4 linked regions of the Saccharomyces cerevisiae S288C genome follow. The protein of the gene in region 2 interacts with the protein of the main gene of each other region in a biochemical or structural test. Each region holds a gene or a part of one and is shown on either strand. Other genes may lie near its edges. The genes, in order: RPN1, RPT6, UFD4 and GAL4.

The links.
Region 1: the proteins of RPT6 (region 2) and RPN1 form a complex in vitro, tested with the Saccharomyces cerevisiae proteins (2 studies listed by BioGRID).
Region 3: the proteins of RPT6 (region 2) and UFD4 form a complex in vitro, tested with the Saccharomyces cerevisiae proteins (2 studies listed by BioGRID).
Region 4: the proteins of RPT6 (region 2) and GAL4 form a complex in vitro, tested with the Saccharomyces cerevisiae proteins (2 studies listed by BioGRID).

The regions. Positions count from the first base shown.
Region 1 is NC_001140.6:161,230-166,702, reverse strand, and holds RPN1 (proteasome regulatory particle base subunit RPN1), read left to right. Parts: upstream 1-1,991; coding exon 1,992-4,973; downstream 4,974-5,473. Other genes in the region: DAP2 (dipeptidyl aminopeptidase), read left to right, coding at 1-1,725; VMA16 (H(+)-transporting V0 sector ATPase subunit c''), read right to left, coding at 5,218-5,473.
Region 2 is NC_001139.9:407,973-413,952, forward strand, and holds RPT6 (proteasome regulatory particle base subunit RPT6), read right to left. Parts: upstream 3,315-5,980; coding exon 2,097-3,314; downstream 1-2,096. Other genes in the region: TIF4632 (translation initiation factor eIF4G), read right to left, coding at 1-1,632; N-acetylglucosaminyldiphosphodolichol N-acetylglucosaminyltransferase catalytic subunit ALG13, read left to right, coding at 3,580-4,188. UniProt on the Saccharomyces cerevisiae protein: The 26S proteasome is involved in the ATP-dependent degradation of ubiquitinated proteins. The regulatory (or ATPase) complex confers ATP dependency and substrate specificity to the 26S complex.
Region 3 is NC_001143.9:418,220-427,570, forward strand, and holds UFD4 (putative ubiquitin-protein ligase UFD4), read right to left. Parts: upstream 7,657-9,351; coding exon 3,205-7,656; downstream 1-3,204. Other genes in the region: snoRNA-splicing protein PRP40, read left to right, coding at 91-1,842; CCE1 (cruciform cutting endonuclease), read right to left, coding at 1,936-2,997; ribosome assembly factor MRT4, read left to right, coding at 8,023-8,733; sphingosine N-acyltransferase LAC1, read right to left, coding at 9,076-9,351. UniProt on the Saccharomyces cerevisiae protein: E3 ubiquitin-protein ligase which accepts ubiquitin from an E2 ubiquitin-conjugating enzyme in the form of a thioester and then directly transfers the ubiquitin to targeted substrates.
Region 4 is NC_001148.4:76,507-84,317, forward strand, and holds GAL4 (galactose-responsive transcription factor GAL4), read right to left. Parts: upstream 5,851-7,811; coding exon 3,205-5,850; downstream 1-3,204. Other genes in the region: GTPase-activating protein GYP5, read right to left, coding at 163-2,847; YPL247C (uncharacterized protein), read right to left, coding at 6,119-7,690. UniProt on the Saccharomyces cerevisiae protein: This protein is a positive regulator for the gene expression of the galactose-induced genes such as GAL1, GAL2, GAL7, GAL10, and MEL1 which code for the enzymes used to convert galactose to glucose.

The sequences.
Region 1 (5,473 bases), on a different chromosome or scaffold from region 2:
TTTGAAGACGACAAGGCTGCGTGGTGGTCACCAACTGGTGATTACCTGGCATTCTTGAAAATTGATGAATCAGAAGTTGGTGAGTTTATCATTCCATATTATGTCCAAGATGAAAAGGATATATACCCCGAAATGCGCAGTATCAAGTATCCAAAAAGTGGCACGCCAAATCCTCATGCAGAGCTATGGGTTTACAGTATGAAAGATGGAACATCGTTCCATCCAAGAATAAGTGGAAATAAAAAAGATGGAAGTCTGTTAATTACTGAAGTTACATGGGTAGGAAATGGAAACGTTTTAGTTAAAACTACCGATCGATCCTCGGACATATTGACTGTGTTTTTGATAGATACAATTGCAAAGACTTCAAACGTGGTAAGGAACGAAAGTTCTAACGGAGGATGGTGGGAGATTACTCATAATACTCTGTTTATTCCGGCAAATGAAACATTTGATAGGCCTCATAATGGTTATGTTGATATTCTTCCGATTGGTGGTTACAATCATTTGGCTTATTTCGAAAATAGTAATAGTTCACACTATAAAACATTGACAGAGGGGAAATGGGAAGTGGTGAATGGCCCACTTGCCTTTGATTCAATGGAAAATCGTCTTTACTTCATTTCTACACGAAAGAGTTCAACCGAACGCCACGTTTACTACATAGATTTACGGTCACCAAATGAAATTATTGAAGTTACTGATACTTCTGAGGATGGTGTCTATGATGTGTCCTTTTCTTCTGGTAGAAGGTTTGGTTTACTCACCTATAAAGGACCAAAAGTTCCATATCAAAAAATTGTGGACTTCCATTCTCGTAAAGCAGAAAAATGCGACAAAGGTAATGTTTTAGGCAAATCACTATACCATTTGGAAAAGAACGAAGTACTTACCAAAATTTTAGAAGATTATGCGGTACCCAGAAAATCATTCAGGGAATTGAACCTAGGAAAGGACGAATTTGGAAAGGATATACTAGTGAACTCGTATGAAATCCTACCAAATGATTTCGATGAAACGTTAAGTGACCACTATCCTGTATTTTTCTTTGCATATGGGGGACCGAATTCTCAACAAGTTGTCAAAACGTTTTCCGTAGGATTTAATGAAGTGGTAGCTTCACAATTAAACGCAATTGTAGTTGTTGTTGACGGTCGTGGTACTGGCTTCAAAGGTCAAGACTTTAGATCCCTTGTTCGCGATAGGCTCGGTGATTACGAGGCCCGCGACCAAATATCTGCGGCTTCCTTATATGGTTCTTTAACTTTTGTTGATCCGCAAAAGATTTCCTTATTTGGTTGGTCATACGGGGGGTACCTGACACTAAAAACTTTGGAGAAAGATGGCGGAAGACATTTCAAATACGGGATGTCAGTTGCGCCAGTAACCGACTGGAGATTTTACGATTCTGTTTATACTGAGAGGTACATGCATACTCCTCAAGAAAACTTTGATGGATACGTAGAATCAAGCGTTCATAATGTCACTGCTTTGGCACAAGCAAATAGATTTTTGTTGATGCACGGAACAGGAGATGATAACGTTCACTTTCAAAATTCCCTAAAGTTTCTGGACCTTTTGGATCTAAATGGTGTGGAAAATTATGACGTCCACGTCTTTCCTGACTCAGATCATAGTATAAGATACCATAATGCGAATGTAATCGTTTTTGACAAGCTATTGGATTGGGCAAAGCGTGCTTTCGATGGGCAATTTGTCAAATGAGTTGACTATTTACAGCTCATCTCATAGAGACATTCATAAAACATTTTCATATTTACATACTATGTATATATAAAATTGGTAATATAACAGATTAATGTTCGTAGAAGATGATGTGTTTTACGGTGGCAAAAGGCGAGCACGAAATTTGGCAAAGGGTATAAGTAATTAAGCAAATTTGGTCAAATCTATAATTCTTCACTAACAAACTTGCCCATTGGTCTACATAAGGTGCGATTCGTATAAATTTGGAAGACAATTGCAAGAAAATGGTAGACGAAAGTGATAAGAAACAACAGACTATTGATGAACAATCGCAGATAAGTCCTGAAAAGCAGACACCAAATAAGAAGGATAAAAAAAAGGAGGAAGAGGAGCAGCTATCCGAAGAAGATGCAAAGCTTAAAACAGATTTAGAGCTATTGGTTGAAAGGCTGAAAGAAGACGATTCATCTTTATATGAAGCGTCTTTGAATGCCTTAAAGGAATCGATCAAAAATTCTACGAGTTCTATGACCGCCGTTCCCAAACCTTTGAAATTCCTTCGTCCGACATATCCAGACCTATGTTCTATCTACGACAAATGGACAGATCCAAACTTGAAATCCTCTTTAGCGGATGTCTTGTCCATTTTAGCCATGACATACTCTGAAAATGGTAAACACGATTCATTGAGATATAGATTACTCTCCGACGTTTCTGATTTTGAAGGGTGGGGACATGAGTACATCCGTCATTTAGCTTTGGAGATCGGTGAAGTATATAATGATCAAGTGGAAAAAGATGCTGAAGATGAAACATCATCTGATGGATCTAAAAGCGATGGATCTGCGGCTACTTCCGGGTTCGAATTTTCCAAGGAAGATACTCTTCGTCTATGTTTAGACATTGTCCCATACTTTTTGAAACACAACGGTGAAGAAGACGCGGTAGATTTGCTTTTGGAAATTGAATCTATTGACAAGCTACCTCAATTTGTCGATGAGAATACCTTCCAAAGAGTTTGTCAATATATGGTTGCATGTGTTCCACTTTTGCCACCTCCTGAAGACGTTGCCTTTTTAAAAACCGCATATTCTATTTATCTATCTCAGAACGAACTTACAGATGCAATTGCTTTGGCAGTTAGACTAGGGGAAGAGGATATGATCAGATCCGTTTTCGATGCTACTAGCGATCCAGTGATGCATAAACAATTAGCATATATTTTAGCCGCACAAAAGACATCGTTTGAGTATGAAGGTGTTCAGGATATAATTGGAAATGGTAAATTGTCTGAACACTTTTTATATCTTGCTAAAGAATTGAATCTAACTGGGCCAAAAGTCCCAGAAGACATTTATAAGAGCCATTTGGATAACTCTAAATCTGTGTTCTCAAGCGCCGGCCTAGATTCTGCTCAACAAAATCTAGCTTCGTCATTTGTCAACGGGTTCTTAAACTTAGGTTATTGTAACGATAAATTAATTGTGGATAATGATAATTGGGTATATAAAACCAAAGGTGACGGTATGACTTCCGCGGTAGCTAGTATTGGATCTATATACCAGTGGAATCTCGATGGTTTGCAACAACTGGATAAGTATCTCTACGTTGATGAGCCAGAAGTTAAAGCTGGTGCATTATTAGGTATTGGTATTTCCGCTTCCGGTGTGCATGATGGTGAAGTTGAACCAGCTTTGTTACTTTTGCAAGATTATGTTACTAACCCAGACACTAAAATTAGTTCAGCAGCTATTCTTGGCCTGGGTATTGCATTTGCTGGTAGCAAGAATGACGAAGTGTTGGGTTTGTTATTACCAATTGCCGCATCCACTGACTTGCCTATTGAAACTGCAGCTATGGCTTCCTTAGCTTTGGCTCATGTTTTCGTTGGTACTTGTAATGGTGACATTACAACTTCTATCATGGACAACTTTTTAGAGCGTACAGCCATCGAGTTGAAGACCGACTGGGTAAGGTTTTTGGCACTTGCTTTAGGTATTCTATACATGGGCCAAGGTGAACAGGTGGATGATGTTTTAGAAACTATTAGTGCTATTGAACATCCAATGACATCAGCTATTGAAGTATTAGTTGGTTCATGTGCTTATACTGGTACGGGTGATGTTTTGTTAATTCAAGATTTGTTACATCGTTTGACCCCTAAAAACGTAAAAGGTGAAGAAGATGCAGATGAAGAAGAAACTGCCGAAGGACAGACTAATAGCATAAGTGACTTTTTGGGTGAGCAAGTGAATGAACCTACCAAGAACGAGGAAGCTGAGATCGAAGTGGACGAAATGGAGGTTGATGCCGAAGGAGAGGAAGTTGAAGTTAAAGCAGAAATAACAGAGAAGAAGAATGGTGAGAGTTTAGAAGGTGAAGAGATAAAATCCGAAGAAAAGAAGGGAAAATCTTCCGATAAGGATGCTACTACGGACGGGAAAAATGATGATGAGGAGGAAGAAAAAGAAGCAGGCATAGTCGATGAACTTGCTTATGCAGTTTTGGGTATTGCTTTGATTGCCCTTGGTGAAGATATTGGCAAGGAAATGTCTTTACGTCATTTTGGTCATTTAATGCATTATGGTAATGAACACATCCGTCGTATGGTTCCTTTAGCGATGGGTATTGTTTCCGTTTCTGATCCACAAATGAAGGTGTTCGATACCTTAACTCGTTTTTCACATGACGCCGATTTAGAAGTTTCAATGAATTCAATTTTCGCTATGGGTCTATGTGGTGCTGGTACTAACAATGCAAGGTTAGCTCAACTATTAAGACAGTTGGCAAGTTATTATTCACGTGAACAAGACGCTTTGTTTATCACCAGATTAGCACAAGGGTTATTGCATCTTGGTAAAGGTACTATGACAATGGATGTGTTCAATGATGCACATGTTTTGAATAAGGTGACATTAGCATCAATATTAACTACCGCAGTTGGTTTAGTATCGCCAAGTTTCATGTTGAAGCATCATCAATTGTTCTACATGTTGAATGCCGGTATAAGGCCAAAGTTTATTCTAGCATTAAACGATGAGGGAGAGCCAATAAAGGTTAATGTGCGCGTTGGTCAAGCAGTGGAAACTGTCGGCCAAGCAGGCAGACCAAAAAAGATTACTGGCTGGATTACGCAATCCACTCCTGTTTTACTAAATCATGGCGAAAGAGCAGAACTAGAAACTGATGAATATATTAGTTACACAAGCCATATTGAGGGCGTAGTAATTTTAAAGAAGAACCCTGACTATCGTGAAGAGGAGTAAACTGAATAGCTTTTGGGCAATATCAACCAGAATAGGAAAAATTCAAAACCATTTTAAATAAATATATATTTATATAGTTGTACATTTTTTTCTCTTACTTAATATAATATGATTTTTAGATAATAAAAGAAAACGTGCATATATACATACACATGTATCTCAGATATCTCATTATATCTATTAGTAAATATGGATGCGCTTATCTAGCTCGTAAAAACGGAAAAGAAAAGCCTGGTTTGAGCGCTTACTGAAATTCAGAAGCTTTACCGGCCATCAATAAACCAACAATCAAACCTAATAAACCTAAAATGGACCCGAAAATTTCAATGACCAAAATTTTAACAAACAATGCGGAATCAGCAGCATCGGAAATGGCAGCAGTCGCACCGGTGATACCGACAGCGATACCACAAATCAAATTGGAAGCACCGACAGTGATACCTGCCCAGAAAAGAGAATAACCAGTGTACAGGTTTGATTTCGAGTACATGTTCTCAGCA
Region 2 (5,980 bases):
CCTTGATTTAGGTATCCATCTATTAGCACTCGGAACCAACGGGGCGATTTCTTCCTTTGGAGCTTGCTCTTCTGCCTTTTCTGCAGCTTTTTCGCGATCTTTTCTGGAGGTATATCCTCTATTAGATCTTCTGTCGTCACCCATTCTCTTTGATCTTCTTTTCGATGAAACTCTTGAACTGGAAGTATGGTCCATACCGCGCATAGATGGACTTCTGAAATCGCCTCCAAATCTGCCACTATCTTTTGGTTTATTTCTGGCTATATGAGGAGGTATAACAATTTTCGAGGATACAGCTTCAACCCACGCAGGATCAGGCCTGAATTTTAGTTTATCTTTGAATTGCAGTAAGAAGGTAGGGCCATAAGTGTACTTAACGCTTGGTTTCTTGTATTTGATATCAGGCCTTTCAACATTTTCCGGATAGGCAAACTCATATATGTCAGAAATTGGTTGAGCCTTACCTAAAGTTTCAAGTAGTTGAGATACAGTTGGCATCTCAATATCGGAAGTGGAAGGTTCTGTCTCCTTCACTGTGTTCTCCTCTGTGGTGATTACGGAATTTATTGTTTCGTCGTCACTTTTATTTACAGTTTTTCCACCAGTCGTATCCGAAATTTCAGTAGTATCATCATCTTTAACAAGCTCATCAACATCCTGAGAACTGCTCTCATTCTCGGGTTCGTTAAAAGTCACGGATTTAGTTACACTTCCAGTTACATGTTGTGGAGTTTTGACACTTGCCCCTGATTTTCCATCAATCACAACTTCATTAGCTTCTCCCGTTGGTTTCGGCGCTTCCTTAATAGGTTCAGATTCAATAACCGAGTTGGGCTTAGTTGTATCAGTATTATCATGATTTGAAGTTTCTTGCTTCTTCTCAGTTTCGGAGATTAAACCGTTTTTCTTTCTTTCCATGGCAGCTTTGCGCAATCTCACCTGCTCTAAAAATAATCTCTTAGTATTTTCCGCTTCAGAGGTAGATTTTTCATTAGATGTTTCGGTTAACGTATCTTTAACTGCTTCATTAGCAGGTAGTACAGGAGTTGCCTCCTTTTCAAAAGGGGTTCCTGATTTAGATTTCTGCTCTACCCCATCATTCTTCTCTTCACCTTTCGAAGCTTTCTTTTCTTCGTGGAATTTTTTCAAATTTAAACGTTCACCAGTTTTCGTAGTGATTTCTATTTTTGTAGTTTTAGGTGTAGAGGGAGGTTCGGGATTAGTGTTGAGTGGTTGGTGTGTATATGGTGGAGAAGCAACTGGAACCATTTGTTGGGGTATATAATACATCTGAGGAGCATAGTAGTTAGCTGGCCATTGCATACCTGGCAACATTGCCGGGTTATAGTCGTTGTTATTCAGTCTGTAGCCATTATTGAATCTGTTATTGTAGTACTGTGCATTTCCTTGACTATTATTACGATTATTGTATTTATTTGTCCCGTATTTGCCATTTTTCGACTGGTATTGCTTGTTATTGTGAGGTTCCCTTGCACTGTAAAGATTTTCATTGTAGTGGTTATTTGGCTGACTATTATTGGCTCCAGAGTATTGGTTATCATGAGGAGGAAATTTCTTGTAGCCATTGGCTTGCTGCGGGTGTGGGGGCGGTGGACCTCTTTGGTCAGTCATAGTGCCTACAATTGATCTATTGTTCTTTGTAATAAATTCTTTCTTTCAGGAACAGTAAAAACAGCCTAAAAATATGAAGTCGCCGTAGTAAACGTTATCTTCTAGTTACTATCAACACAGACGCCTTTTTAAATTCGAGGGTCAAGGCTGCTAGGCTGAGTGGTCGTTTGCTGTGTTTACCTCTAATCAAAAACTTATTATCTTTTTTTTTTCAGTCCTTTTTGCAAAGCAGGTACCTACTATTTTTCAAAATACACTAAAGGAACGGGCCCCCCGGCTTACTATTAATAAGGTCAGGACGGGGAAAAAGCAGCAATGCTCTGCCCCTCTGTTCTCGAAAAGACAAACGGTTGTTATATCCTGTATATCCAGCGGTATAATTTTGCCTCTTAGTTAATGCTAAACTATGATATTATACACATACACTAAGTAACATATACAATGAGCCAAGTGAAACGAATACATCACTTGAACAGCTTGGCGACAGAAATGGCCGTTTCTTGGTTCTTGTTCATAACCTTACCCACAGCGAGTTCGAAGTCTTCTTGAGTAACGTGTATTCTTCTTTCTCTTAAAGCATACATACCAGCTTCTGTACAGACACCTTTGACATCGGCACCAGAACAACCGTTCATCTTTTCAGCAACCTTTCTCAAGTTGATACCACGAGTTAGATTCATTTTTCTGGAATGGATTCTTAAAATTTCAGCTCTAGCTGCGACACTTGGAGGTGGAAATTCAATCTTCCTATCTATTCTACCGGGTCTCAAAAGTGCTGGATCTAGAATATCTAGTCTATTCGTGGCCATTATGATCTTGATATTTTTAGAAGTTTCAAACCCGTCCAATTGGTTTAGTAGTTCTAACATTGTTCTTTGAACTTCTGAATCACCACCACCAGAACCTTCTACACGAGTAGAGCCAATGGAATCGATTTCATCCATAAAGATAATTGAGGGAGCATGTTCTCTAGCCATCACAAACAGCTCACGGACCATACGGGAACCTTCGCCGATATACTTTTGTACCAGTTCCGCACCACTGACCCTGATGAATTTACAATCAGTGTGATGTGCGACAGCTCTTGCCAATAAGGTTTTCCCTGTACCAGGGGGGCCATATAAGATGACACCCTTTGGTTGCGCAATACCCAAACTTTCAAAAAGTTCAGGATGTTTTACGGGCAATTCAATAACTTCTTTAATCTCCTTTATTTGCTTTGTCAAACCACCAACCATATCGTATGTGGAATCAGGAACTTTTTCCACCATCATCAACGAAACTAGTGGGTCAGCCTTATTCTCAAGAACTTTATGCAACATATAAGAGTCACTCCTTAGACAAACTCTTTGAGATGCCTTTAAGTCCTTCACGTTTATATCTTTTGCAACATCCACGATGTATTTTCCCTCAGGTTGCACTTTAACGAGAACTTTTTTGTCAGACACGATCTTTATAACTTCACCCACATAAGATCCAGGTTCCTGTAATAGACGCAGTTCGTCCTTGATAAAACGTACTTTGTCATTCAATGCATTCCTTTGAGCTTCCAGTCTGCGAACATTTTCTGTTTTGGAGCGGATCTTTAATTCTGTTTCTTGGATCTTCTGTTCAAAATATGGTTTGATACCACTTTCGTGGGTTTCTAATACTATATTGGAGGATGTTACAGCAGCTGTCATTGTCGTGATAGTATCCCACTATACTGTTGTTCCGTTTACATAAAACCTAACCTAACTGTTACTGATATTACAACTTTTGCCACCTCGCTCGCATTTTGACAGTTTTAAAATACGAAAATTTCCGAACAAGAATAAGGGTAGAGAAGTATGCAAAATATGATTTCATATTAAAAAACCCAACCGAAGAAAAAGGGAAATAGAAAAACAAGTTTTCAGTCGCAAAAAGAGGTTAAACAAACGAGTCAGAAGCCAGCTCTTTCAAACAATGGGTATTATTGAAGAAAAGGCTCTTTTTGTTACGTGTGGGGCAACGGTGCCATTTCCAAAGCTCGTCTCATGTGTGCTAAGCGACGAATTCTGCCAAGAATTGATTCAATATGGATTCGTACGTCTAATCATTCAGTTTGGGAGAAACTACAGTTCTGAATTTGAGCATTTAGTGCAAGAACGCGGGGGCCAAAGAGAAAGCCAAAAAATTCCAATTGACCAGTTTGGCTGTGGCGACACCGCAAGACAGTATGTCCTGATGAACGGGAAATTAAAGGTGATCGGGTTTGACTTTTCGACCAAGATGCAAAGTATTATACGTGATTATTCAGATTTGGTCATATCACACGCTGGAACGGGCTCTATACTAGATTCTCTACGGTTGAATAAACCGTTGATAGTTTGCGTAAACGATTCTTTGATGGATAACCACCAGCAGCAGATAGCAGACAAGTTTGTAGAGTTGGGCTACGTATGGTCTTGTGCACCCACTGAAACAGGTTTGATAGCTGGTTTACGTGCATCTCAAACAGAGAAACTCAAACCATTCCCAGTTTCTCATAACCCGTCATTTGAGCGATTGCTAGTTGAAACTATATACAGCTAGTTAGTAAGATTTTAAAAGACGAAAAGAACGGAAAGTAGGACAACTACCAAAAAAAAAGATGGAAGGTTTCTTTGGTTAGTTAGCAGTATCCGCGTAATGCCTTAGACGTTTTTGATCAGAAAAAAATAAAACTTGATTTCGCCCAGGATCGAACTGGGGACGTTCTGCGTGTTAAGCAGATGCCATAACCGACTAGACCACGAAACCAGTTTTTTGATGTTTCGTTTAGGGACAAGAGTCCTATGAGAGTCCACTAAAATTCTAAAAATAATTGTATCAACAACCGTCATGCAGCTGTTGTATCAAGAATCGACCACCATCTATAGACTATTGTTCATAGCTGTATTACAATATCATATAAGATGTAAGGATAGAACGTGAAGATCGAGAAACAGTCAGCAGATTTAATGGAAGCTGAAATGCACGGATTGATAATGTAATAGAATAAGTGACAACATAAGAAATGAAAGAAAAAAAATAACATTAATATAATTTAGAAATGTTAGTTTCCTTCTATGAACTCTCGTATCCCTGGGGAGGACTTTCAATATATTCAGTATACCTACCGTTCAAATGATACTCTAAAATATCATCTATTAAGTGGTATTCAGGTTTTTCCCACGCAAGATTGAGTGCGTCAGGCAAAGCCACGATCGCAGATTACTCTCCTAACAATATTAAGATCGTCAAGAACATCCGGTTTTACTCAAGCGCTTAATACAACACGTCGGCTTTCGCTCAACTGCAGTATATTGTGTCTGTAACCTCTCCCGTCAAGTTTGCGCCACGGGCCCAATAACCAACTTCTGCGCCATTGTTACGGAAAAGTGGCCATCTTTGCTATGCTCGTAAGGCTAGCGCTCTCTAAGTACGCCAGCCCAAAAACTCCGTATCGCTCTTCATCGGAATTGCTATATCTACAGCCGACGGGCACTCTATGTATACTCATATCACAGCCACTGTTGCACTACATTATTCGCAGGGACTCCGAGATCGCTGAGCATGTTGCTAAGCAACTTACCAAGGTTGGAATGCATTATATAGTCCGATATAGACCCCGCTCGGACTATATTATATAAATTCAAATAGCACTTTCAACGAGTGTCTTAATCCGTCCTAGTTCCTGCTCTCGCTCCACGTTGTCATCCCACCCATTCGCACGGGTCTTCTGTGCGAATGAGCCACAACGGGGCCGAGTTCAGCGCGTGTCCGCCTACAACGTCCGCCAACTAGTGGCAATTGCTAGGCTACGCCGACCACGCTGACACGCACCGTTCTACTCGCTCTATGCTGCGGTGTGACGTGTGAACGCGCGATCGTTCGCAATCGTATCGTTTGCCAAGAAAAAAAGCCAATCGGAGAATCTGAAAATCGCTATTCGGCTTGCAGGTCGCACGCACTCAGAGTACGAAATGCCAAGTACCGGAATTTCCTTGGCCTTTTTTAAGTTTCTTCTCTTCTATTCTTTTTCCCCTTTCTTTCTTCCTTTGCTATCTGTCTGGTTTAAATAAACATAGTATTTTTTTGTGTCTAAGCCTCTTCCTCTTCTCTCGTACTTGCTCTACTACCACTTTACTTAATCGCCTTTCTTTGTTTTCTTTCTTCGTTATTTGTTCTTGGACTTTTCCGCTCCAATCCCAACGATTGGCTTCAAAACACGTTCTACTGTCTAGCAATTTCTGCAGGTGCCATTTTTCTTAGGCTTATACCCTTTCCTTTTCCCCTTACATTTGATTTCTTCTTCAAAGTTCCTTATAGTATTATTGTCTAAGCTCTATTGAGTCAAAAGTAA
Region 3 (9,351 bases), on a different chromosome or scaffold from region 2:
CGCAATAGCGTGCCTACCTATCAGGATAACAAGGTCTGAAGCCAGATCGACCACTAGACAAGCATTGCCGGAGGTGGGAGACGTGAAACTATGTCTATTTGGAAGGAAGCTAAAGATGCAAGTGGAAGGATATATTATTACAATACTTTGACAAAGAAATCTACGTGGGAGAAGCCCAAGGAACTAATTTCTCAGGAGGAGCTACTTCTTCGAGAAAATGGCTGGAAGGCGGCCAAGACGGCAGACGGCAAAGTATACTATTATAATCCAACAACAAGAGAAACCAGCTGGACTATTCCGGCCTTCGAGAAGAAAGTAGAACCCATCGCAGAACAAAAACATGATACAGTATCCCATGCACAGGTTAATGGAAATAGAATAGCCCTTACGGCTGGAGAAAAACAAGAGCCGGGACGAACTATAAACGAGGAGGAAAGCCAATATGCTAATAACTCTAAACTGCTTAATGTCAGGAGAAGGACTAAAGAAGAAGCAGAGAAGGAATTTATTACCATGCTGAAGGAAAATCAAGTAGACTCTACTTGGTCATTCAGTAGAATTATTTCAGAACTGGGGACCAGAGATCCAAGGTATTGGATGGTCGATGATGACCCCTTATGGAAGAAAGAAATGTTTGAGAAATATCTTTCCAATAGATCAGCCGATCAACTTCTTAAGGAACACAATGAAACAAGCAAATTCAAAGAAGCCTTTCAGAAAATGTTGCAAAACAATTCTCATATAAAATATTACACCCGTTGGCCTACCGCAAAGAGACTAATTGCCGACGAACCAATATACAAACACTCCGTGGTCAATGAAAAGACAAAGAGACAGACCTTTCAAGATTATATAGATACCCTCATCGACACTCAGAAAGAATCAAAAAAAAAATTGAAAACACAGGCCCTAAAAGAACTAAGAGAGTATTTAAACGGTATTATAACAACATCATCCTCTGAAACTTTCATAACCTGGCAGCAGCTTTTAAATCACTATGTTTTTGATAAGAGTAAGAGATATATGGCGAACCGGCACTTCAAAGTCTTAACCCACGAAGATGTTTTAAACGAGTATCTGAAAATAGTAAATACGATTGAAAACGATCTTCAAAACAAACTAAATGAGCTCCGACTGCGCAATTATACCAGAGACCGTATTGCTAGAGATAACTTTAAAAGCTTATTAAGAGAAGTGCCAATCAAAATCAAAGCAAATACTAGATGGTCAGATATTTATCCTCATATAAAGTCTGATCCGCGCTTTTTACATATGCTTGGAAGGAATGGCTCGTCCTGCCTTGATTTATTTTTAGATTTTGTTGATGAACAAAGGATGTACATCTTTGCACAAAGATCAATAGCCCAACAGACGTTGATAGATCAAAATTTTGAATGGAATGATGCCGATAGCGACGAGATCACCAAGCAAAACATAGAAAAAGTTCTGGAAAATGACCGGAAATTTGACAAGGTGGATAAAGAAGACATCAGTTTGATTGTTGATGGTTTGATAAAGCAAAGAAACGAAAAGATACAACAGAAACTCCAAAATGAGCGTAGGATATTGGAGCAAAAGAAGCACTATTTTTGGTTACTTTTGCAAAGGACATATACAAAAACCGGTAAGCCCAAGCCTAGTACGTGGGATTTAGCTTCCAAAGAGCTTGGCGAATCTCTTGAATACAAGGCACTAGGCGATGAAGATAACATAAGAAGACAAATTTTCGAGGATTTTAAGCCTGAAAGCTCTGCACCGACTGCCGAAAGCGCTACTGCAAACTTAACGTTGACCGCGTCAAAAAAGAGGCATTTAACTCCGGCTGTGGAATTGGACTATTGATTCTGACGTGTCGACCTCTATCTTGTTAATCATTATATAAATTATACATAGAGATTACATGTTATTTCAAGTTTGCGATCACCGCACAATTTCTTAGTCATTGTTGTAAGTGTTCTGCAAAAATTTCAGCTTTTGTACCTTATTTTCACAAAATTCAAACACCTGTCCGAACTGTGTTTTAACCAGTGTTTTTGAATTCAAGAGTTCAGTAATACTTTCATAATTTTTTAACCACTCCATCCAAGACAAACAATGGAGGAATGAATCTGCCAAATCGTCATCTTTTCTCACCCCCGAATTATCTTGGATCTCTAGTATATCACATAGCTTGAAACTTTTTTTTTTGGTAAGGGCATTTCTTATCCTATTATTCCAAACTCCTATGAACTCGACCAGTTTTGTAGAACTAGTTGAATTACCTTCTAGTATTGAGGTTGAAAGTATTTTTTTCACTAGCTTTATTCGAGAATCTTTGCTATGTTTGTTAGATTTTAACTTTTTTGAACTGGTCGGTGTCTCTTCTCTTGGAATGCACCAATATGAAGTCATCCGATGTGGATCGGACGAACATACCATATACCTCAACTTGGACGTATTCGGTATTTTATTCGTATACTTCATTTTATTTTCCAAGTTAGAGAAAAGAATCTGTTCGAGAATATTCACTTTTAAAATTGGGTCTAAAATATGCCTCGAAGACATAGTTCTGGTACGTTGCCTTTCAATTGTAAACATATCTGGTATCGGCATAGATTCAAATAAATACTCCGTAAGGTTAAATACAAGCTCAGAAGTTTCAGCAGGATTCAAGCTTAACTTTTTGAGGTTTTGAAAAAATTTCTCCTCTAGATTTATCTTTTGCCAGTCTAGTACTTTAGGGAGCGGATCATTATTGAGCAATTGCATCTTAGAGAAAGCAAAGTTAGAAACACCAGCATCCATAGACAATATGTTAATTCTTCCCTCTCTTATCTTTTGTTGTCGTAACTTCTCCAAAAATTCACACTGTTCTTGAATGTAGGTTCTTTTAGCTTCTTTCGTCGTGCCATTTACTGCTCCAATAACAAATGATAAAGATTTCAGTTGTGTGCTTTTTGCATTTTGGCAGCAGGAATCGATGAGTTGCAATATCTTAGCTTTCTGTGCTGTCGACATATTACTATCTTTTTTAGCTTTAGACTGTATAACCGTAAGCCTTCGTTGTATGCAATGGATAAACAAATATGGAATCGCCAGTTGAAACAAAAAAATGAGAAAAGTACGGATAATCCGAAGAAATTTAGTCTGATTCCATCCATTTTTTGTATCTTAAGAAATAATTTTGAAGTCATATAAAACTTAAATAGAAAAAGTAACTAAAATTTAGGAAAGTAGAAAAGCTCCTGCACCCTCTTCAATGGCTTGACAAAGACGAGACCGCATAATATCTTTGCTAGTATACTTCGGCAATTTCAAATAATTAGCACATGTCATTACACTTGGTAGATATTCGTCTGCTGTTAGGCCATCTTCAGCATGCTTTAACACAACTGTAAACTTTGGGTTCAAACTTTTAAATCCCCCAATTGGAAGCTTGGGAGATCCCGTTAAAAATTGCAAAAATAATCTTCTTTCATGCTTACCAAACGCGGATATTATTGATATAAAATCATGAATGATTGAAGAATCCATTGTATAGCCATGTTCAGCGTTCAAGTTTGTGTATAAAGTTGCCATAGACCAGTCTTCCTCAACTCGTCCGAAAATATCCACTAATTCATCCGGAAAAAGTATTAGCATCCTCTCATAGGAAAACACCTTTGAAAAACCTTCAATAAATGCTTTTAACTGTTTTTCAATGCCCTTACCTAATATTTGGTCGATAACGCCATGGATATATTCTTCAACATTAGAAGAGTTCAAGGATTTATTACAACCCCCCGGAATCAACTCAATGTCATCATTTCCAGGAACGGTAAATGTCAAGGACAACGATTCTAGGGTCATATTGTCATCCTTATTCGCTACTATGTATTTAAGGGATTTTGCGAGTAACGGATCTACCAATTCGATCATTAACAGACAGGTTTCAACGTCGCTCGGCACTGTCGTCACATTGGGCGTAGACATTCTGTGCAATAACTCAAAAAAGACTTTGCTAAATCTAAAGTCAAGAATTCTATTATCAAGCAACGATCTGGCAACAAATGTCCCCAAATATCCAAAAAGTTCAATAACTTTTTCATTATTGGAAAACGGGTTGAGGGGCTCTGGGAACAATAAAGTGGTAATATAATCGTCAGTAGTATCAACATCCATTTCGCTTCTGTAACTATAAGAGTTACAACGCCACATATTTAACGACTTTCTTGCAAAATACTTGGAAACTACGGAGTAAAATTCCAAAGTCGGTCCTAAACCTGTTCCTGCTTCTTCTTGATATTCAATTTCCAGTACGTCAGGGCTACTTCCGTACTTGGATAAAATCTTGAGACCGGTAGCGAATATTGTTTTTCTTGAAATCCGCAGCTTACGCCTAGTAATTCTCCCAAGTTGTTGTAAAGCTTCGTCATTCCTTAAATCTTTCGAGCCTTTACTCTTATTCTTCCAAAGTTGAATCAATCTTCCGTAACCAAATGAAGTACATTGTAGGAAAAGCATCCTGGTATCAAACGGAAACAAAAATGGGAATCTCCTGGTCAAAAATAGTGACCAATCCGGCAAAGCTCCACTTGCTACTACCAATGGTTCATCTAGTTGTCTAGCGAGCTTAGCGCTTAGTTTTGAGTTGATAAAACTGTCGCTTTTAACACCGCAGCTATGTAGAAAATCCAGCAATGTCAGAATATCCGCTGAAGATCCAGTATCAACCTGTGCGAATTCTCTTTTTTTATAAAAATCTCTTAACTTTTTCCCCTCATTAGCTTCCTCGGCTGCCTCACTCTCTCTATTGTTACCTTCTAAACTTTTGCAAAATTTGATTGTATGTGTATCATCCCATAAAGTTTTTAAGTCACGATTTCGCCTGACGAATGTATTAAATATCACACCAAATACTGTAGACTCCATGTCAACTTTTTCATTATCATAAAAAAAGTCAAAGTTCTTTTTTCTCATATGATCCAAGCAATTTTCTTCTTCTTCCCTATCAGCTTCGGTACTGGAAGATGTAAGGTTTGGGATTAATGAATTCAAAAAACGCATTCTTACCATTCTGTGTCTCAAAAACTCATTAAGTGAGGTAAAAGAAGCTATGCAATGGACCGAAACGATAGTAGATGATAAATCAGTACCAATATTATCTTTGCTTGCATCGCCATCATAAACCAACTTAATTTTTATCTCTTTAGCCAGTGAAGATACACCACCACCATCGTGTAAACCGCAATCAACTATAGAGAAATTCTCCAGCCTTGTGAGAGCAGATTGTAGGATTTCTAAAAATCTGTCAATACAATCCTCAAATACCTCTAAAAATGATTTAGCAAGAATGAAATGGGATACCGTTGAGGATGTAATTCTTTTAGTTATGGAGGAAGCTAGCCCTGTAGAAGTAAATTCGAAACCTGACACGTCGAAATCTTCATGGAAAATACATTTTTTTAAAACAGACCAAATTCCCTTCCAATCCTCTTCAGTTTTGTCCGGAGTGGAAGGATTTTCTAAAATAGAAACAACGCCTTCGATTTGATGGAGCTCCTCTGTTATTGCTTCTTGCTCAACGTTCATCTGAGAAAGTACTCTATTAACTAGGTTCACACCCTTGTTTTTAATATAAGCTAGAGATAGAGTTCTGAAAATGTGTATTGAAATTTTCTTTGGTTTTACTGAATCAGGAATTTCCATATCAGTAAATTCGTAATCATATTCTTCATCACCCTCATCACATTCCTCAATACTGCTATGCAAATCCCCTTCTTCGTCAGAAAGTGAAATATTTTCATTCCCGTCTTCCTTTAAATCAATGTTATTGAAATCCACAGACAAATCCTTAACCAAATCAAAAATGCCCTCTCTTTTGATGGAAGGAAAGAACAGTTCGGAAAACTTTTTACAAATTAAGTCAAGCAACGAGAGACCACCAACCAACAGTGTACCAGCTTCTGATGAGTAAGTACCATTAGCGTTAGACGCTGTTTCTTTTTGGGCCAGGATAGATCCGATTAACTTAATAAGTTGATCATTGATTGCCTTTGCTGTGGAATTATTTATGCATGATACAACCCTCAGTAAAGCAATAAGTACGTATCTTCTTACGTCAAAGTCAGCAGCATTTGTATAAATTTCAACGAGAATTGGAATTAGACATTGAACTAGGGAATCAAACTTTTCCTGGTTAGAAATTACGCCACGGTCGCTATTTCCGGTATATTTATCCGCTGACAGTATTCTTTCATCCTCGGGAGGAAACAATACAACTATAAATCTAGAAATGCTAATCAATAAACTGTTTGGGACATAAATCAGTGTTTCATGTAACCCTGCGTTAGGACTTTTACTATAATGCTGGAATGATCGTGTTGCCATGTCGACAATGTCAGTTTTCTCTCTCAGTTCTCTTGAAAGTACATCACTACTCATCGCTAATACGGTTAAAATATCCAAACATTTCAGTTTATTCTCCAAGGGGGTATCCTGAATAGAAACTAGCTGAACTATTCTTTCGATTAAATCCAACGAAAACAAAGTCTCAAATTTGTCAACCCCATGCAACGCCCCGCAAATACCGTACATGGCATTTACAAGCCTGGTTAATATTGGTTGGTCTGTCGCATTCGAGAAAATTGGCTTCAGCGTTGGAAGTACTTCAACAATGGTCTTAAAGTCATCCGTTCGGATACTGCTACAGGCGTTCGAAACAATTGCGATAGCCTTCCTCTGCGCATGTATAGTTAAAAAATCGAAGAATTGGACGTAGATTGATAATTGGCCCGTTTTTAAAATGTCTCTCCCATGTACTCTAGAAATATATTCCACCGTTTCTAAAACTTGTTCTGCGAGGTCAATGTAACTGATCTCTACCAATTTTCCTTGTAAAATTGGTATAACGTGTTCATCAACAGCTATTGAAATAGATTCAGGGCAGACCTCAAAAAGATTATACATGCATCTACAAGCTTGCATTTGTAATTCTAATTCTTCCCGTAAAATTTTATCAGAGAGTATGGCAGCTATATTACCTATTAAGGTTTCCATCGGTATAATTCTATCGACAACCATTTGATTCATCATTAATATGTTTTCAGAAAGTTCTTTTAAACTCTCCATTGCAATATAAGGATCCTCGGAGGCATTCCCAGTATTCTCTATCAATTTAGAAATCCGCTCATTCCTTGCCGAACTCTCTGCGCTCCTCTCCATCCTTCCTCCAATCATCGATAAAATCTCGGGTAGTGTTCTTCCAACCGGGTGTTGCCCAAGTCCTTCACTTGTTTGTCTTCTTTGTTCTAGTCTTTGTGCGAATGTTTCCAAAATGTCAGGTAAATGTAGGGGGTTGCTGCCAAATTCATTATTATCGTGAGAACGTTCAAGTCCATCTTCTTCTTCATTTCTGTCTTCGTCACTGCCATTCTGAGTTCTATGATATCCATATAAAAGTCCAGAATCATCTTCATGATGGTAATCGTTATCGTCATCTTCACCATCATCTGCCTCAAAACTTCCGACGCTAGAAAGCATATGTTCATCTTCATCTTCATCAGGATAATAAGAGTACTCACCCTGTACATGGCCATCCTCATCATAGTCATCTTCTACCTGCGTATCCATCATATAATCACTGTTTTCGCTATGGGACTCATGTTCATCAAGGTTGTGCGAATTATTTTCAGACATGCTTGGCTACTCTTCTATTTTAAATGTTTATCCAAAATTTTCACACCTGAGATATATTGTTGTTAATAAAGCACACAGAAAGGAAAGTATCGATCCCAGAAAGTGGTCTTTCCCTGGGTATGATCAAAGCTATTCCCCTTTCCAACTACTGTTGGCTATGATCCCACAATTTGATTTCAGTTCAGAAAACCCAACCATTAGGACTTTACCCGGCGAAGGTGAAAGAAAAAATTTTTTTCCAGAAAAATGCGATGAGCTTTTGAAAAGTTGCAAATATTTGTAGTACTTTGGCTAAGCAGAGCTGATTCCTTTTGCTATACGTACATCACTGTCTATCGTCCATAAAAGATTTATTATAGTTGAATCATGCCAAGATCAAAACGTTCCAAGCTAGTCACTTTAGCACAAACCGATAAAAAGGGCAGAGAAAATAAAGAAAGAATTTTCGATGAAGTGAGGGAAGCCTTAGATACTTATAGATACGTCTGGGTCCTACATCTTGACGACGTAAGAACTCCAGTTTTACAAGAAATCAGAACATCTTGGGCAGGCTCTAAGTTAATTATGGGTAAGAGGAAAGTTTTACAAAAAGCATTGGGAGAAAAGAGGGAAGAAGAATACAAAGAAAATCTGTATCAATTGAGTAAGCTTTGTAGCGGTGTCACTGGTTTATTGTTCACTGATGAGGATGTCAACACTGTCAAGGAATACTTTAAGTCATACGTTCGTTCAGACTATTCAAGACCGAACACGAAAGCACCACTAACATTTACAATTCCTGAGGGCATTGTCTACTCACGTGGTGGTCAAATTCCAGCTGAGGAAGATGTTCCAATGATTCATTCTTTAGAGCCAACTATGAGAAACAAATTTGAAATTCCAACTAAAATCAAAGCTGGTAAGATCACCATTGACAGTCCATATTTAGTTTGCACTGAAGGAGAAAAATTAGATGTTCGTCAAGCTTTAATACTGAAACAATTCGGTATCGCTGCTTCTGAATTCAAAGTCAAGGTGTCGGCCTACTATGACAACGATAGCTCCACTGTTGAAAGCACTAACATCAACATGGAATAAGCTGAACTATTATTTGGAAGCCTTTTTTAATAGACCATTGTATAAAAATTTCTTTTTTTTGTATAGATATACTAAAGCAACGCTCATAAATGTAACATAGCTTCTTTTCAACTGAGAATTTATATTCATGCTAACTAAGCGTAAATCACTTTTGATCTTCACAGCTCTTTAGCGGCACGAAAGCAAGAAAAAAAGATAACACTGTATGTCTGGAAAAGAATACTATAAAAATACCTGTTTACATAAACCAATAAGGAAGAACGTGAGAGCAGGACCGTAAAAGAATTAATGTGTAAAGAATTAATGTGTAATGGTTATACTACTTAAAAACACCGTTTTCCTTCAAATATCCTTTTTCGTTGGAGTACTGTCAGTTGGAGTAGTGGAACTTTCATCACTTTCTTCGTCTGATTCACTATCACTTCTGTCATCCTTGAGAATACCTCTCCATAGAATCCTGTAAAGAACTCTAAAAATAAGGAACAGCCAATAAAGATTCACTAATTGCAAAGCGCCTATCAATACAAAGACAATTGGTAAGGAAATCCAACATTTATATTGCTGAGTGGCAAAATTCAAGACATAGTTACCTTCCGTGCGAAATTGCGTTAAAACGGA
Region 4 (7,811 bases), on a different chromosome or scaffold from region 2:
ACGGTAAAGCGGAAACAAAAACCCAACACATCCGTGGATGTACGGGTGAAAATACAGTCAAAAAAAAAACAACAACAACAACATTGTCTAAACGAGTCGTGATGCATTTTTTAACACAAATTGGAGAGGCACACAATGTGCACACAGCGCAAAACTATACATCTATTTAAAAACTTTTTTAAAACCAGTCCAGCCTTTCCTCCCTTTAGCCTTAGAATCTCGTTCCAATAACGATGCCGTGGACACTTGCTCCTTATTGATGTTAATCAACTCATCGATTTCCGCTTGCAGTTCAGTGATTCTTTCCTCTAATTGGCCGTTCTCCCTCATCACCTCATTGTTCCTGGATATGGTCCTTTCCAAGTCTTCTCTCAGATCTGCCTTTGGTAGTGACGCGTCCGGGTTCGGTAAATTTTGCTTGCGAATCTCTTCCTCAATTTGGCTTTTGATATCAGTGATTGTATTTATCAGGTCGTTTTTTTCATCCAACAGCATCTCCATATTCAATCTGTTCTGAATCAGCTCGTTAGCGGCGCTGATATTCTCTTTGTTCAAAATTGAATAGTCGTGTTCTAGCTTCTGCGCCTCTCTTTGTAGTTGGTGGTTTTGAATTCTTAGTGATTCGTAGTGGTCCTCTTTTTTTTGCTCTTTTTCATGGATTTCTACGTACTCTCCCCTGTATCTTCTTAATGTTAATGGTGTGATATATACACCTGTCATTGCATCATGAACGAAAAGATCGACATTGTAGGAAAAAGTGCCGTCATCATTGCCCTTAAATGAGTTCCCATTTGACAATCCCATTTGCACTACAGAAGCGTCATCCTGGTTTCCCATTAAATAGTAATTGAAGAGTTCGTCCTTTAAAAAATCCAATAGTTCATCGAATCTCAATTTTACTAAAGTTTCTTCATTCTTTAACATTAAATTTACAGCAAACTTCAAAAGCACTTCAATACCCTCTACGAATACAATATCAAAAATTCTTAACACAAACTCTAACGGAAACTTGTATGCGAAAAATGTCAAAAACCATTGTGTAGCGTACATTGTGGAGCTAATTCCCTCACGGATCAAGCGATTGTACAAAGAAGGTGAATGCTCCTCTAATAATCTATCAAATTGATAAAGCATTAACATCAGCCCAGGCATTCCTGGTAAGAAAAGCTCTCTTAATCCATAATTCTTCATTAATCCAACGAGTAGTCCAAAAGATTCGGCCTCGTTTTCACAGTTTATTAATAGCGGCGCTGCAATGAACCCCATGCCTTGCGTGTACCCAACATCTGGATCATAAACAGAATACACCTTTATTACCTTGTATAGTGACTCCATTTTGTCCTCGGCCACAAACTTCGTTCTCCTTAAATCTCTACGTATTGTTGCTTCATGAAGACATTCGGTATCCAATAGAGTTTCATATATATCTTCCATTTCTCTTGATTTGGAATTCGCCATCAGCTGCCAAATGATACCTCGAATTTGTGGTGGTATCCCATTGGTAACATGGGCTTCTAAATTTTCTGGTTCGTTGCTTGCCACTGTAGCATAATCATTAACTACTTGAGTCCAGAAGGACCAATCAATTTTAAACATTTCTCTATCTTCTTCATTAACATTCTCCACTTCGTTATACTCGGACAAGTTCTCCAGAAATGACGTAAATGTCGATTTTAAAAAGCTTTGACCTTCCTGCAACGACTCTCTAGTTTCTTCCCCCTCTTTATTCAAATGGTGACTGGTCTTGCGGTAACGACTAGCGATCAAATTAATTTCTGCAGTGGACTCTAATTGCGCAGTTTTGGAACCAGTGAGAGGAACATGATGATAACTATTTCTTTTAGTTTCTTCGAAGTTTTTACGGAACTTCTCTGACTTCATTTCTTCCTCTAGTGGCGGTGGAACAGCATTCTTCGTCTTCGGTGGTTGTTCCCTTTGTTTGCCCCTTGGAGGTAATTTTGGTGACGTTGATGTCGCAACATTTTGTCTAGGTGGTAATGGTGGCGAAGATGTAGTGGGAATTGCGGAAACCTCGTTCTCGCTTGAGTTATCACCTTTTTCATTTATGATTTGTGTGGGTATAGGTGGTACTTTCCTAGCAGTTTCTGAGGAAAGATTCTCTGCTGTTACGGGCCCATCTTCTATAGCAGCTTTTTGTTCCTTGTTTTCATTCAAGTTTATTCCTGCGGCTACCTCATTGGTAATATGAATCTGGTTATTATCATTTTCTGACGACCTTTCTGGGGTTACTTCACTACTTATAGAAATGTCGTTCGCATTTGCAGCTGTCGTAGTACCAGATTCGTCATCGAGAAATTTACTCGAGGATGATTTCTCACCTCCAGAATTTTTTCCAGTTACTTCCCTATTTTCTGGACTACTAACAACCTCTTTCGTATCAGCGTAAACCTTCTCATTCTCTTTGACTGCATCATATTCTTTTTCAATATTCAGCCCATTTGGGGCTTGCACATCCGTTGTCACATCTTTTTCAACATCCAATGGCTCATTTAAATCAATTTCAGAACTAGGTTCTCTCGTTTCTTGCCTTTGTTCATTAACGTTTTGTTCAGTGATTTGGGTGTCTTCATCACCAGAGATCCCAATAGGTTCTTCTCTTGATACATTTGTGGGTGCTTCATGGCCTAAACTTTGTTGCTTGTCATTTAGTTCTTTGTCCGAATGGAGGGGCTCAGTTGGAATTATAGCTATCTCTTCATATTGGTCTGATGGCGTTGATTTTATCTCTTCCTCCATTGAACCCAAATTATTCGAATGATTATCACCTTCGTGAACTTCAGAGGCGATCGTATCTGTATTTTTCTCAATAGATTTGTCTGAAGACATTGCTCTATTAACGTTCTACTTTACACTGGTGGTAGGAGCTGTTTTATTTTGAGTATTAACTAATCAATCTCAATTACGTTCGATCCAAACCCTTTTTTTTCGTTATATGAGCGAAGCTTCTGAATAAGCCCTCGTAATATATTTTCATGAAGAATTTAGGTCCAAAAAAAAGATGGGCATTAATTCTAGTCATTTAAAAAATTCTATAGATCAGAGGTTACATGGCCAAGATTGAAACTTAGAGGAGTATAGTTACATAAAAGAAGGCAAAACGATGTATAAATGAAAGAAATTGAGATGGTGCACGATGCACAGTTGAAGTGAACTTGCGGGGTTTTTCAGTATCTACGATTCATTTTACTCTTTTTTTGGGTTTGGTGGGGTATCTTCATCATCGAATAGATAGTTATATACATCATCCATTGTAGTGGTATTAAACATCCCTGTAGTGATTCCAAACGCGTTATACGCAGTTTGGTCCGTCCAACCAGGTGACAGTGGTTTTGAATTATTACCATCATCAATTTTACTAGCCGTGATTTCATTATTCATGAAGTTATCATGAACGTTAGAGGAGGCAATTGGTTGTGAAAGCGCTTGAGAATTTGTTTGAGTTGTTATGAGGTTCGGACCGTTGCTACTGTTAGTGAAAGTGAAGGACAATGAGCTATCAGCAATATTCCCACTTTGATTAAAATTGGCGCCACCAAACAAAGCAGACGGGGTCAGTGGCACTAATGATTGCAGCTGTTGCTGTTGCCCTAGAAAAGGCGTGACTGAGCGATGCGAAGGTGTGCTTCTTGGTATTGTCACTGGAGAGTTACGAGAGGGTGGACGGTTAGATAACAGCTTGACTAGATCACTGAAACTTGCTCCTGATTTCAATGGCACAGGTGAAGGCCCTACTGAGCCAGGAGAAACATATTTAACACTGATATTGTTGACATTTTCCTCCGGAAGAGTAGGGTATTGGGCGATAGTTGCAGAACCGACAATATTTTTAATGGCGCTACCATTACTATTGTTATAACTGATATGCGGTAATGGGATTGCACACTGTGATAACAGAAACGGCGCACATACCTCTTCCAGTACTTGAATGTATTTTTCACAAGTCTGGATTTTAAAAGTGGCCAGTTTTTTTAATAGCATCAGAACAGTGTTAATTTGTTGTAATAATTGTGCGGTCTCGTTATTCTCAGCATTCGATTTTGAGTTTGAGAGTAGAGTCTTTATGGGTACTAGGACTGCATTGAACAAGTAATAAGAACAATTCCAGGCAAAATATGGGGTGACATTATGATTGTCCATATAGCTACTTACAGACATAACAGTTCTTTGTGCTGCATCGCTTAACATGATGGAGCATCGTTTAACTTCATAACTTTGATGATCATTTTGATCCTGTTCTAGTTGTGACTTTTTCTGGGTAAAATTAGTGAAAAAATCTCTTAATACATAAATGATAAGAGACAACTGTTTCCACTTCAGTTCGAATCTTGTAAAGGATAGCCAAGGGTGTTCCTTCAACAAATTGGTTAGAGCGGTGGTGGAAATATCCATTTGTAAAAACTTTGGTGCCTGTCTCGAAACCTCCTCAATCTCATTACAAATCATCAAGCATTTTTTTGCACATATAGGACTTTTTTCTGCAGTTACTGTTTTGTCTAGTTCATAGATTTTTGTGAAAACTTGTAAGAGCCTTGCTGTTTCAATGATGCCATGATATATGGTGGGACCTGTTGTGGTACGCTGCACATCGTCGACAGAAGAAGGGAAGGAGATTGTATTCTGAGAAAGCTGGATGGATCGACCATAAAGCAGGGACAATTGGATCTCCCAAGAGTAGACAGACCACCAAATTCGGCGTCTTTGTTCCAGAATGCTGCTATCACTGAAGGACGAGGGGAGGTCCCTATTCAAGCCCAATGATATGGCCATTCTTATGGAAAAGCTGTGAAAATTATAGCTAGTATTTGTTTTCTGCCTCCACTGTGTATATCGCGACAGAAGATGTAGGGCTGTCACCAAAATTATGGAACCTGACTCGAAGACCTTGCTCGTCAAATGAGATTTAGCATTTTGATAGTAAAAAACATCTATATCAGTAGATTCCCCCTCTATACACCAGGCTCCAATGGCTAATATGCAGTTAAAAAGGATTTGCCATTGATCCTTCGACGCGATTTCAATCTGGTTATTATACAACATCATTAGCGTCGGTGAGTGCACGATAGGGCAGTAGGGGTGAAAATTATTGAGATAACTTTGAAGTAAACGGGATGTTGTGGATCTAGAAGCCAACGTGTATCTATCCGTAATCATGGTCGGGAGCCTGTTAACGTTAGAGTTCGTGTAATTTTCCGGTTTAAAGCCAATAGATCGAAGAATACATAAGAGAGAACCGTCGCCAAAGAACCCATTATTGTTGGGGTCCGTTTTCAGGAAGGGCAAGCCATCCGACATGTCATCCTCTTCAGACCAATCAAATCCATGAAGAGCATCCCTGGGCATAAAATCCAACGGAATTGTGGAGTTATCATGATGAGCTGCCGAGTCAATCGATACAGTCAACTGTCTTTGACCTTTGTTACTACTCTCTTCCGATGATGATGTCGCACTTATTCTATGCTGTCTCAATGTTAGAGGCATATCAGTCTCCACTGAAGCCAATCTATCTGTGACGGCATCTTTATTCACATTATCTTGTACAAATAATCCTGTTAACAATGCTTTTATATCCTGTAAAGAATCCATTTTCAAAATCATGTCAAGGTCTTCTCGAGGAAAAATCAGTAGAAATAGCTGTTCCAGTCTTTCTAGCCTTGATTCCACTTCTGTCAGATGTGCCCTAGTCAGCGGAGACCTTTTGGTTTTGGGAGAGTAGCGACACTCCCAGTTGTTCTTCAGACACTTGGCGCACTTCGGTTTTTCTTTGGAGCACTTGAGCTTTTTAAGTCGGCAAATATCGCATGCTTGTTCGATAGAAGACAGTAGCTTCATCTTTCAGGAGGCTTGCTTCTCTGTCCTCTCTTAAAATGATGGCGTGCATTACGTAGACACAATCTGGAGATGAAGCTGAAAATCTGGGGAAGGATGACGGAAAAAATAGCTCATAAAACAGAAAAAGGCCCGAAGTAACAATAGGAAAAATTAATTGCACTAAACAAAGAAAACGATATTATGGTGATTAAACTGATACAGAATTATGTAAATACTTTGAAATTATAGAAGGTTTGTAGAATAAAAAAAATACTGGGCGAATGCTGTCTCAAAGGACGCGGACGTTTTGAAACTTCTTGCCGCTCACGCACCCAAACCAATCGCCCCTCTGGGGCCTCCATGCAATGTTGTTTATCTCTTGTGTTTTATTGGCATACATCATGTTAGGAGTCTCTAGTGTCTTGCACACCTGCTTGCTGTTGTTGTTTAAACTTAAGGGATCCTCGTTTAAACCGGATCCTGCGCCACCGTCTGTCATCTCTGTGTCGCCGTCAGGGTCCTCCAAGGAAGTTCCATGAATACTGGGGGATTTGCTACCTGCAGCGTTAATTTCCATAAAGGAGCTGTTCAAGTCCCAATAGAGCACCTGGCAGTCATCTCCGCACGAGAGCAAAACATTGCGCTTTGTGGGATGCCATTTAATCCCGTTTACCGAAGAACCGTGGCCTTGTAAGTTTAGTATAGGGGATTCTGGGTTCCTCATATCTAGAATAATGATTTTGTTCGAGTCAGCTGCAAAAGTGGCCAACACATTTGGGTCATACGGTGATGGCTCCAGCCTCAATAAGGCGTCCGAACCTTTCGACGACGGTGTTATAGTACCCGCAGTGGCTCCAGACACTGAGGAAGAGGGAGGCTCGTAAATAATTGTACTGTGCGCAAGCGATCTTAAATCAAATACTCGTACACTACCGTCCCCACCACAACTAGCAAATAATTGGGTCGATTTTGTCAAAAACCTTACATCAAAAACTTCGCTGTCGTGAGCGATCAATTGGGTCTTAACGTAGTGACTGCTTTGCAGATCCCATACAATGCATGTGGTGTCGATGGAACTTGAGATTATCAAGTTAGTATCGACCGTGTTCCAGTCAAATGATGTTATTGGTGGGAAAGTGCCTATGACCTTCATGTCATCTGCGGCCGCGGGATTGGCGGGGTGCTGTCTATTGTATTTACACAGAGATAGATTTATTTGTTCTTGGAACTGTCTTTCCTCAGGGCTAACGCTCCAAATCCGTAAGGAGTCAGAACACGTCGCGAGTTTCCTTGGATACAATTGAGAGGGGACCCATTGGATTTTGCTCACAGGATAAACCACATCTGCGTCCACTACGCTTTCCCAGCTCAGTAGATCATTAGAGTGCAGAACCTGCAACTTATTTCTGCTGTCCTCTTTGTACGAACCCAAGCAGACGTAGTCGTCGGCGCTCCAATCGAGCCCAAAGAGTGGATAGTGTGATTGATATTCGCACACGGAGGCCATGGAAGGGTTCATCAGATTGCTTACAACCGGAATATTTGCAGCATAGCCCCTCGCCTGCTGTAACTGAGAATGATTTGGTGAAAAAACTGGTGGCGAGAAATCTAACGGTGAATACATCGGCGATCGACTTGCATAGTACGTGGCACTTAGGTCACAGCCACTATTCCTTTTGCTGTTACCGCCATTGGTAGTGTTGCCAGACATTCCAAAGGGAGATGGGCCTCTACCTTGATCTTGTGCCGCCGAGGAAGGCCCATTAGTACCACTCAAGTAATTGTTCTTGTTATATGGCTGCCGCTGCGATGAGCCAAACGATATTGAGCTCCTTTTATTGCCATTGTGAAAGGGATCCATTTGAAGGGCGTGTATTTGCTCCTATAATTCCTTTCCTTCTTGTTGTCTGTTGACCCTTTAGGTTGTATGCCACTCTCGAAAACCTAAAGAACTGATTACTAAATTATTTATACAAGATTTC